3 linked regions of the Coturnix japonica genome follow. The protein of the gene in region 1 interacts with the protein of each later gene in a biochemical or structural test. Links are inferred from orthologs where the notes say so. Each region holds a gene or a part of one and is shown in the gene's direction. Other genes may lie near its edges.

Region 1 (4,158 bases):
GAAGTTCCTCTTAGGGCCCTCCAACAGCTTTGAGAATGAAGAAAAGGCTTCTTGTCTAGAAGCAAGGGTGCAGATAGCTCATCCTGCCTTGCACACAGCTCAGGGAGCAGAAGAAGTTTTAAAAACATGTCCACTTTTAGAGGAGTGCATTTATTTTAGTAAGCCCATTTATAACTGTCAATTTCTCTTAACAAATGTAACAAAAGCTGAAGCTCCACGGTCTCGTTGGTATGAGGACACATTGTTCACAAACAGGAGAGGATATGGGAAACATTTGTCCAACAATTGCTGTTTGAGCTCCCTGAGCCACACTCTGATCTCTTGAACTGCCCCGGAGGCTGCACAGATTGGCGTATTTGCTTAGGCACAATATGAGCACAGCCAAGAGTACAAGAGCAGAAGCAGCAATTTGAATAGTATAGTTCCCGTCCTCAAAGGGAGGGATGGGTGGGTTGGATAGTACTTGGCCCCTAGGCCAGAGTGTGAAGGAAAACGCGGTCGCTGCCGTAGGGCTTTTGTCGAGCGCACGCCCTCCGTGCCGCTCCGACACTCCGAGCCCCAGCAGCACGTTGGTTCCAGCAGCCCGCAAGCCCTGGAACACAGCAATGCAGCAAAGCCACGCTTCTGTCCTCAGCGAACGCACCCCGGCCTGGCCTCGGGCCCGCCCTGAATCACCCGCCGTCCAGCACCGTCCCTCCCCTGACCTGCGGCGTTTTGTCTCTCGCAGACGGGCCGGGCGCTTCCACCGAGGAGCTGCCGCTTTGTTACACACCGTTTGGGCCTCTTTAAGGGGCCGCAGCCGCACGCACGGCGATTTAACGTTTTTCCCCTCAGCGCTGTTCGCAGTGGACGTTTCAAAACAAGCTGCCTTCCCTGCTGAAAGCTTACATCCGCGTGAATAAATCGCTCATTCTGCCAGCAAAACGCAACGGTCATGGTGCGATAACAAGTCAGCCCCCCGCTGGGGGAGGCGATGGCGTGCAGACACGGACACAGCACAACGCCATCAGCTCATTCTGCAAATGTACGCGGGCGGAGCTTTTTATTTTATATTTATTAATAATTCGGGGCTCGAGCAGCCGTTCGCATTTCCAAAGCCCGCTCAGAAAGCAGGCAGTTAATTTCGGTTTGCTCGGGCCACCCTGAGCGCTCTCGCTGCCCCCCGCCCGGCCGTGCCTTGCAGCGGGGTGTGGGGCCCCAGGGCAGCCCCCCCCCGCCTTGCGGCCCGCCCTGCCCGGCCGGGATGGGAAAAAGTTGAGCTCAACTTCTCGTGCTCCGCCGCTCCGCCCCCGGGGCCGCACGGCATTGGCGTGTTCCGGCCGTGAGACCCCGCCCCCGGCGCGGTTTGTGAATGGGGCCGGCGGTGGGGGCGGTGCCGGCGGCGCGCCCGCGCGTATATGTGTCTTTTTTGTGCCCGGTTCGGCCGCGGGCTGCGAGTTGCGGGGTGTGCGCTGGGTGCGCGGTCCTGCTCGGCTGCGGGCGGAGTGATCCTGGGGACAAGCGGCGGCGGAGCCCGTCGGGAGCGGAGCTGCGGGAGGATCGAGCAATAATTGGATTTTAAAAGTTCTTTAAGCCCGCGAGTAAAAGACGCGACTCAGCCGGGCGCGGTAATAATCCGTTTAGCCGTAACCTAAATCCTCGTCGTCGGGAGTCGGCAGCCAGGCAGGGAGCAGCGCCTCGCCGCGGGACCGTGCGCGGAACTACCGAGAGCCGTCGCCGGCCTTTCCGCCCGTCCGCAGCCTTCTCCAAAGCCACCGACTCCGGAAACTTAACGCCGGGAGCACCGACCCGCCGCGGCCGAGGAGGAACGCCGCTAAACCGCAGCCCCGCTCCGCGGAACGGGCCCCACCGCCGCCCACCGTGCTCCCATGCCCCTGGGGCTCGGCGCCGCCCGGCTCTGACTCGCGCCCCGCGGCTCCCCGGGACCCGGCGATGCGGCCCGAGGCGGGAGAAGCGGGCGCCGGGCTCCGCTGGCTGGGCCTGGCCGCCCTGCTGGCCGCCCTGCTGGGCACACCGTGCGCGGCGGCGCATCAGGACGATAAGGCCATCTCCGTGCCGGACCACGGCTTCTGCCAGCCCATCTCCATCCCGCTCTGCACGGATATCGCCTACAACCAGACCATCCTGCCCAACCTGCTGGGCCACACCAACCAGGAGGACGCGGGCCTGGAGGTGCACCAGTTCTACCCACTGGTCAAGGTGCAGTGCTCGGCCGAGCTCAAGTTCTTCCTCTGCTCCATGTACGCACCGGTTTGCACCGTATTAGAGCAGGCCATCCCACCCTGCCGCTCCCTATGTGAGCGGGCTCGCCAGGGTTGCGAGGCGCTCATGAACAAGTTTGGCTTCCAGTGGCCGGAGCGGCTCCGCTGCGAGAACTTTCCTGTGCACGGTGCGGGCGAGATCTGCGTGGGGCAGAACACGTCGGATGCTCCGTCAGGGCCCGGCGGCGCGGGGGGTCGGGGAGCCACGGCGCAGCCCACAGCCGGCTACCTGCCCGACCTCCTCACCCCACCGCAGCCCGCCGCCGGGTTCTCCTTCTCTTGCCCTCGGCAGCTCAAAGTGCCCCCCTACTTGGGCTACCGTTTCCTGGGGGAGCGGGACTGTGGAGCCCCCTGTGAGCCGGGCCGGCCCAACGGGCTCATGTACTTCAAGGAGGCGGAGGTACGTTTTGCCCGGCTCTGGGTAGGTGTGTGGTCCGTGCTCTGCTGCGCGTCCACCCTCTTTACAGTGCTTACCTACCTGGTGGACATGCGCCGCTTCAGCTACCCAGAGCGACCCATCATCTTCCTCTCAGGCTGCTACTTCATGGTGGCGGTGGCTTACGCAGCGGGTTTCCTGCTGGAGGAGCGGGTGGTGTGCCTGGAACGCTTCTCTGAGGACGGCTACCGTACCGTGGCCCAAGGCACCAAGAAAGAAGGCTGCACCATCCTCTTCATGATCCTCTACTTCTTCGGTATGGCCAGCTCCATCTGGTGGGTCATACTGTCCCTCACCTGGTTTCTGGCAGCTGGCATGAAATGGGGCCACGAGGCCATCGAGGCCAACTCCCAGTACTTCCACCTGGCTGCCTGGGCTGTGCCCGCTGTCAAAACCATCACCATCCTAGCTATGGGGCAGGTGGACGGAGATGTGCTCAGTGGGGTGTGCTATGTGGGCATCTACAGCGTGGACTCGCTGCGGGGCTTTGTGCTAGCACCGCTCTTCGTGTACCTCTTCATTGGCACCTCCTTCCTGCTGGCCGGCTTTGTGTCCTTGTTTCGCATACGCACCATCATGAAACACGATGGCACCAAAACAGAGAAGCTGGAGAAGCTGATGGTGCGCATCGGGGTCTTCAGTGTCCTCTACACGGTCCCTGCCACCATTGTCCTTGCATGCTACTTCTATGAGCAGGCCTTCCGTAGCACCTGGGAGAAGACGTGGCTCCTCCAGACATGCAAAACCTACGCTGTGCCCTGCCCTAGCCACTTTGCCCCCATGAGCCCGGACTTCACAGTCTTCATGATCAAGTACCTCATGACTATGATCGTTGGCATCACGACGGGCTTCTGGATCTGGTCTGGTAAAACCCTACAGTCCTGGCGGCGCTTCTACCACAGACTGAGCACCGGCAGCAAGGGCGAGACGGCAGTATGAGACCTCCACCCGCCCTGGCACACACACGCAGAAGAGAGGGTACTCAGCAGAAGGGAAGCAACAGCGGCTCCCTGAAGACAGAGAAAGGGGGAAAGCTTTTCAAAACTTCAGCTTTCTCACAGTGGGGTTAAAAATGATCATTGCATTAAGGACTACGTGCACTGCGTCCAATGGTGCTTACGCTCGGCTGAGAGGAAAAGCACAGAAAGAGGCCTCTGCCGGGGCGGGAGAACCCTTCGCCTGCCAGACAGCCCCCTCGCTTTTCCCTGTGCGGGAAGGAAACCAACACGGCTGAGGCCATCCCGGGTGGGGAGAAGGCTCAGCGCCGCCCTTGCCCACGAGCAGCCCGGCTCCCGGCCGCTGGGGTCGGGCAGCCCCCGGGCTCCCACCTCGTGCAGCTCGGGGCGAGCACGTGAGTAGCCCGCGGGCAGCGCTGTGCTCAGCTGCCTCCGCTCCATCGCTTTCCTGTTTTACCTCAATGATACCCTGTGTTGGCATTTCGAAGGGAGTGGAAATTCGGCC
Region 2 (3,500 bases), on another chromosome or scaffold:
GTATGTGATGGAGTGGGTTAGCCTTTCAGCTCTGTATTGATACTGCCAGCAGTGTTTGATCCGAGTCAGTGCCACGTACTGTTTGTGGTTGTGCTGTAGTTCTGTTCCAAACACAGAACGTCAATGGGGAACTAGAGCCAAACTGTTTATGACATGGGCATCTGGACTTTGCCTTACCAAACAGCACCACACAGTCAACTACTGCTTGAATAACATTAATCAGGCCAACATTAACATCTCAGTTGTCCCCCCTGTTAAAACAGATTAAAAAGTATTGACCCTTTTCAGAGGTCAGAGCCATTACCAACAATGTGGGCTGCAGTCGCTTGATATATTGCTGGAAATGAGGCCATTGGGTTGCTGGTGGAACAGGGATTAGGACCAAGTGATCGATGCAATCACTCTTTTTGCTTGGGTGAGACAAGTGTGAGGTGACCAGCAGGGAGGTTACAGGGCTGAAACACTGCTCACAGGGAGGAGAGTCTGTCTGGTGATATGAGATAGGGGGAAAAAAAAGGGTAGTGCTGCATGGATTAAAAACCTGACCTCCTCCTTTTCTGCTGTAGGATCGTTTTGCCATTCATGTTGAAATCTTAGTAAGTAAAAAATTACATTTTACGGCTGTACCAACAGGGTCCCACTGCTTTCTGTTGGGATGCTTTATAAATCACTTCCAAATTGGGTTTTGCTTTCTTGGCGGCTGGTTAGATCTCTGCTGCTGGAACAGGAAAGGTGTGGTATTTCATCCATGCACCTGTGCTAGTGGCTAAGAGAGCCCTGTGGAAGGCACCAAGAGTGTTGAAATTAAGAGTTCTCAACTCTTTCCTTGTTCTTCATTTGGAAACTACACTGCTGTGTCGTTTCTTACTTTATAACTGTTATTCCCTTGTTTTGTTCTGAGCAAGCATTAGACTGAAGGATTCATAGAGGAATGGCTGACTCTAGGGGATTGGTAAGCTTCAAATGCCTCCATGATAATAATGACTTCACAGCATGACCATTTAGACTCCTGTGACCCAAATGTTTAGCTGTGTTTTTCCTTTTATTTTTGTCTCAACGCACGATAGTCCAACAGTGTGACATGAGCATACCAAGCTGTTTGCCCTCCCCCCCCTTGTGATTGTGCTGCAGCAGCCATGAGAGAAGGGCATCATCAGGTAGCTTGCAGCCAGCTCAAATGGGAAAGCCCTACCACTAGTCTTTTCACCACCCTTCATAGAAACAAAGAAATCCCAGCTTTTAATTAAGCCTGGTGTTTGTCCATTGGGACTTTACATATCTACCAGTGCCCTACAGGAGCTGATTGGCTGAAAGATATTTGGTCACTCTATGTGGATGAAATGGGGTTTCTTGTGTTCTCTGCTTATATGTCTTGTTAGTTCGTAGCTGGTAATGTCACTTTGCACCAAGAGACAAAAGGAGATGTCATTCAGAGTGCCAAGCTGGTCCTTATTGTACTGGTTTAGATCCTTCCTGGCAGTAAGACAGTCTTGCACTAGGAGCTTTGGCTTAAGTCACAATACTCTCTAAATTGCAGGAACTTAATGAAGTACCGTGTGGGTTTCTTGTTAGTTTCTTATGGGCTTTTTTTAAGGCTGATTGATTTAGAATTGTCTCCTGACATCTATCCTATCTCTGATGGTAATAGAGCACACCTTCAACTTTCCTTCTGAATCAGTTCCAAAGCTTAGCAAAGCTTATACGTAGCAACAGCTCAGCTTATGTACCAGCAGCAGCCCTTTGTTTTCCTGAGCTGATTTAGTGGCCTCTGCTGGGAACTTCCTTCATGTTACTGATTGAGCAGCTCAATAAATAACTCCAACAATGAAACAGTATAGCAATGAATTTTACAAGAGCCTACCTACTGAATGCAACAGAAGGACTTCAGTTAACCTCAGGAGGTTCAGCCTTGAGCAGCAGTCTGCCCGGGCAGTACAGAAGTCAAATCAGTTTCCTTTTGAGTAAGGTTGTAAGTCAGGATTCAGCCGAACCTCATTTGCTTGTGGGTTAAAACCCAAATGCCTGCTTCTTCCTTTGGTTTCAGCTGCTCCCCTCTCTGGGCAGCGAGGAGGTGGTGGAGCTGAAGGCCTCCAGCCTTGCTTGTGAGCGAGCTGCTGCTTTCACTGTGTGAGCTCTGTAGGTGTCTCCGTGTTCCTGTGCATGGCACAGCCTCGTCTGCTTCATTCTGCCATCTGTCACTGCTAAATCCCATAAGCCACCGATAGCACGCTCAGGCCTTATCATTATTATTGCCATCACACCAGAGGTGGATTGGTGGCTTTGGTAGGAGCTGATGATGGAAATGAGCTAATTCTGCTTTTCCACTTGTCCTTTTATTCCGCTTTGCTGGCCTTTAGGAAGCAAAAGCAGCGGCTCGAACCGAAGCAACAGCGAGAACAGCAGGAGGGCTCTTGGCAGAGAGAAGGACCGCAAGTCGGCGGGCAGTGGCAGCGAGTCCGAGCACACTGCATGCAGCGGTGGCACCGGCACAGCGCGGAGGGAGAGGCCTGTCAGCCAGCTCAGCCACCGCAGCCACGTCTCTGCCACACACAGCGAGAGGAGCCACCACAGCCATCATTCTTATGGGCCTCCAGGTGTCCCACCCCTGTACAACCTCCCCAAGCTGGGCTCGAAAGTCTACGGGACGAGCGGACCCCCTGGAGGGCCCCCGGTGAGAGAACTGAGCTCTGTTCCTCCGGAGCTGACGGGGAGCCGGCAATCCTTCCAGAAGGCCATGGGCAACCCTTGTGAATTCTTTGTCGACATCATGTGAGAGAGGAAGTGCCTTCAGACTCTGCTTTGGGGAGGGCCGGGGTGGATCGTTTTGGGGCTGGGTGGGAAATGTTGTCATTGTCAGACACTTAAGGGAAGAAACTTGTCTGTTTTGCATGTCACGCCTTCCCAGTTTGCAATGATGTGTTGCAGAAAAACCAACAAAACAAAGCAAAACCCCCACAAAACAACCACAAAAACACACCCACCGATGCCTGGGATTGTTCAATATCAGCAAGTCGATGGCGTTCTTCTCTTTATCCTCCCGTTTTTCTTTCTTCCCCCCCCTCTTGTTTTTTGATTGTGGTCGGCTGGTGTATATTCACATCTTATTGAGCTTTGGTAATCGTGGCACCTACTTTCAGTGCAATTAGTGTATCTTTCGGGCTGATTCGAGGACTTCTTATTTCACGTGACTTCTGAATTTCCAGTAATGCATAACGGCACTTTTATTTTCTTGTGCTTTTTCCTCCTGCAAGAAAAAGCAGACGATTGTTGGCTGGTATCTGTGATACTGCCTCGTAATGCTGGTGTTTGGATGCATCAGTCGGCACTAAGCAGCTGCAGCACCTGCAAGTACAGACAACGCATGGAATGGAGCAGGCACAGACCAGTTCCCAGCAGAAAGCCAAGTTGTGACTGCCTTCTACTGCCTAGGGAGTGTAAATCCATCGTCCTTTTACTTCAGATGTTGGTTATTCTGTGGAGGAAATGGTGGAATCTTGCTG
Region 3 (3,500 bases), on another chromosome or scaffold:
TCAGGACCTCTAACTTATCTTTGGATGGGAGAATTAATCTCCCAACCAGAAGCATTTCATAGTGCCTCTGTTAACTGCGTTCATGTTTTCTGTGCCACGTTTTAATTTTCAAAGCTTTATCATGTTCTTACGTTCTGTTTCTATCCTTTCCTGTGGTGAACTGCCTTAACTACTCTTCTGCAACATTCTGTTGACCTCGGTGAGAATCTGAGCAAAGGATTTCTCAAAAGTGGAATTTTCTAAAGCCTCTGTGGCTCAGATCACACAGGGCTACGTGCCTTCCAAGATCACGCGAAGTGTTTTTATTTCAGTGCTTCCTGTTATGCTGTCACAGGGCTCTCTCCTCATCACATGAGGGAGGCAGGCTGAAGTCTGTGGATTTCAAAACCCACTGCTGACTAGGTCTGGGTGGTTCGTGGTCTGTTGCTTCTCTTTAATATGGTACAAATGGACGCAGGAAGCCAGTTCTCTCGAGTGACTTGACCTCATTGCAGCCTTTCAATACCTGAAGGGAACTTACACCCAGGAGGGGAGTAAACTCTTTGAAAGGGCTGACAATAGCAGGACTAGGGGAAATGGTTTTAAGTTAAAAGAGGGAAGATTTAGGTTGGATGTTAGGGGGAAGTTCTTCACTAGGAGAGTGGTTAGGCCCTGGAACAGGCTGCCCAGGGAGGTTGTGGATGCCCCGTCCTTGGAGGTGTTCAAGACCAGGTTGGACGGGACCCTGGGCAACCTGATCTAGTAAAGGTGTATGTTTGGTGGCCCTGCCAGGCAGGGGGGTTGGAACTACATGATCCTTGAGGTCCCTTCCAACCCGGGTCATTCTGTGAGTGACTTCTTGATAGGAGTGTTAGAAATGATAAAAGCCTTTAGATAGTGTGAAAACTTCTGGACTGTTTTCCTCAGTTGCATGTGAATTACTGTCCTACTTGGGAGATGGAATATAATTAGGTTTCCATCTTAATCCTCATCATTGTTGCAATACTTCCTGTGAAGCTGTTCTCTGTGCAGGCTTTCTCATGGCTGCAACATTTAACAGCACCGAGTAAGCAAAGCCTATTATACATAGGCTAATAGTGATAACAGATGAAACTGTTAGTCTTAATGAAATTTGTCTTCAGTGCTTTGTATCTGTAGTGCTAAAGTTTACAGGTCGCGACTTGCTTATTTAGTGCTTTGTCTGCTTTCTCTTTCGTTTCTGTTTTAAGCTGTAATGCTAGGCAAGTACTGGATGGCTAACCCTTCCTTTTTCTTTTTCCAACCCAGTGAGGCTGCATCAACATGTCTCTCTATCCTTCCCTAGAAGATCTGAAGGTGGACAAAGTTATTCAGGTATGGCAGGCTTTCATAAAGTTGGTTTTGGTAACAGTAATGATCCTGTTTCTGTTTAAGACGGGGAGGGGAGAACTGCTACTATATTATGTATTTTACAGTCTCTGAAAAGGAAAAGGTAAAGTGCGTCAGTCTCACCTGCATTTCTCTGTGTGGGGAAGGACCTTTGGAACTGTAGGCAGTGTTGGGATTTCTTTGTTCAGCTCCATGTGCCCTGCATTATCCTGAGGTGAAGATACAGTCAGGTGACAGTAAACTTTGATTTAAAAACAAAACCCAACCCTGCCTGCAGCTGATTATATTATATGCTCCCTCAGCCTTTTAATGACCAGCTGCCAGTGTTTAAACACTATAACTAAAAACTCTTCACTGTTTAACTTTTGCAACCAATGTGGTAATGGAAATAGGGTATTTCTCTGCTAGTACTGAAGGATGCACTGTGTCCTCAGCAATTCAGTATGATTAAAAGGAAAACTGGAGTGTGTGGCGGGGGAGGGAATTGTAAAAAACAAAACAAAACCCTGTTCTTACTGTACAGAGTTTGAGTTGGAGACTAAATAATGAGTCACTTTTGCTCTGAAACTTCTTAAACGTAACTTCCTGGAGAGAACAGGACTATGAAATCTTCTATTTTTAAGCATTATTTCCTTAAAAAACACTCAGTAATTCGGTCAGCGTGTTGAATTTGGTGATTTATGCGTCCTGTTTGGCACTGTGTTTCGCTGTTCTGAAACTTAACCACACCTTTTACTTTTAACATCAGTAGCAATGTTAAGGTGGCTGTTTCTGTCCTGCATAATAGTAGGACTCTGTAAGGTAATGTTTTCAACTGTTTGTGGATGCTAAAGGCTAAGAAAGAAGCAGCTCTGATACCGTGAGAAGAAAGGGAATTGGCTTACTTTAAAAGTCTCTTCTATTTGCTTAATGACAAAACTGGAACTGATGCTGATGGTGAAGCCTTCCTGTGTTATTAGCATAGCTCTGTCTCTGAGGAAGGTATGACTTCTTGTTGAAGCGGTATGATAACACTGCCGCGTATTGTGTTAAATACTTCAAAGAAAATGATTGACTTCAGTGCTTGAAGAGTAGTGGTAATTAGCACATTAAGAAGAATACTTGGTCTACTGGCTATGTAACAAAGATCTCTTATACAAGAAAGACCTATAGTAACATGTGTGAGTTTCCATCCCTTTAGGCTCAGACTGCCTTCTCTTCAAACCCAGCTAATCCAGCAATCTTGTCTGAAGCTTCTGGTCCTGTTCCTCATGATGGAGGTAAGGTCATGTGCTGCATAGTATGCTCATGTTGTTGGGACCCTTTGATCTCTCCTTGATTTTCACCTCAGCCACTTGCATATACTTACTTGTCACATGTTTGTAAACTTCAGACTGCAGCATGAATCTGAGCATCATGGAATCATGGAATTATTCAGGTTGGAAAAGACCTCAAGGATCATCAAATCCAACCTCAGCCTAACCATAGTACCCTAACAACCCTCTGCTAAATCATATCTCTGAGCACTGCATCCAAATGGCTCTTAAACACATCCAGGGATGGTGACTCAACCACCTCCCTGGGGAACCTATTCCACTGCATCTTTCCTCTGGAGCATATGAACTTGCTTGGAAACAAGCAGACACAAATCTGTTAATAGAGAAGTGCCCAGAAACATGGAACTTCAACAATATTGTGCTTTCTGCAGCTTTTGGGGTAAAAACATATGTTGGAAAACACAATGGGCCTGAAGATGTCAGTCTCATTTCACCTTTTTATCCCCATGCTGATGTGCACCCACAAAGATGCACAGATATGCCTGAAAATCTGTAACTAGCATGACCAGCTACAGTGCTGGAAGAGCAGTCAAGAATGCTGATAGAGCAGGTACTAAGGCTTGGTGGGTGCACCTTTGTCTCCAGTTTCACACTTGGAGCTGGTGTGATCTAAGCAATTTTAAGGCTGGAATTTATTTAGCTCATCAGAGACCCACCTTAGATCCGGGAAGGTGAATTGGACCAGAAGGAACTGAAGATCTTACCTGAGCTGGCATCATCAGATCAGATGGAAATTTGCATTATTAATCCCTTTTTAGTAGCATCCTTTCTGATGCTTGGCGTTTGTATTCCACTGCAACTTCTGTGCCTTTCATATTGCTTATCAAATGATGTATT

The links. The genes of interacting proteins can lie anywhere in the genome.
Region 2: the proteins of FZD7 (region 1) and DVL1 form a complex in vitro, tested with the Homo sapiens proteins (2 studies listed by BioGRID and IntAct, with this or other methods). The link is inferred for Coturnix japonica from reciprocal best matches to the Homo sapiens genes FZD7 and DVL1.
Region 3: the proteins of FZD7 (region 1) and SDCBP interact in a biophysical measurement, tested with the Homo sapiens proteins (2 studies listed by IntAct, with this or other methods). The link is inferred for Coturnix japonica from reciprocal best matches to the Homo sapiens genes FZD7 and SDCBP.

What each region holds. Positions count from the first base shown.
Region 1 is NC_029522.1:10,161,049-10,165,206, forward strand, and holds the start of FZD7 (frizzled-7), read left to right. Parts: upstream 1-1,358; 5' UTR 1,359-1,932; coding exon 1,933-3,636; 3' UTR 3,637-4,158. UniProt on the Homo sapiens protein: Receptor for Wnt proteins.
Region 2 is NC_029536.1:1,959,042-1,962,541, forward strand, and holds part of DVL1 (segment polarity protein dishevelled homolog DVL-1), read left to right. Parts: intron 1-905; coding exon of another isoform or gene 906-916; exon of another isoform or gene 917-952; intron 953-2,357; coding exon 2,358-2,773; 3' UTR 2,774-3,500. UniProt on the Homo sapiens protein: Participates in Wnt signaling by binding to the cytoplasmic C-terminus of frizzled family members and transducing the Wnt signal to down-stream effectors. Plays a role both in canonical and non-canonical Wnt signaling.
Region 3 is NC_029517.1:101,329,405-101,332,904, forward strand, and holds part of SDCBP (syntenin-1), read left to right. Parts: intron 1-1,266; 5' UTR 1,267-1,281; coding exon 1,282-1,332; intron 1,333-2,527; coding exon 2,528-2,616; intron 2,617-3,500. UniProt on the Homo sapiens protein: Multifunctional adapter protein involved in diverse array of functions including trafficking of transmembrane proteins, neuro and immunomodulation, exosome biogenesis, and tumorigenesis.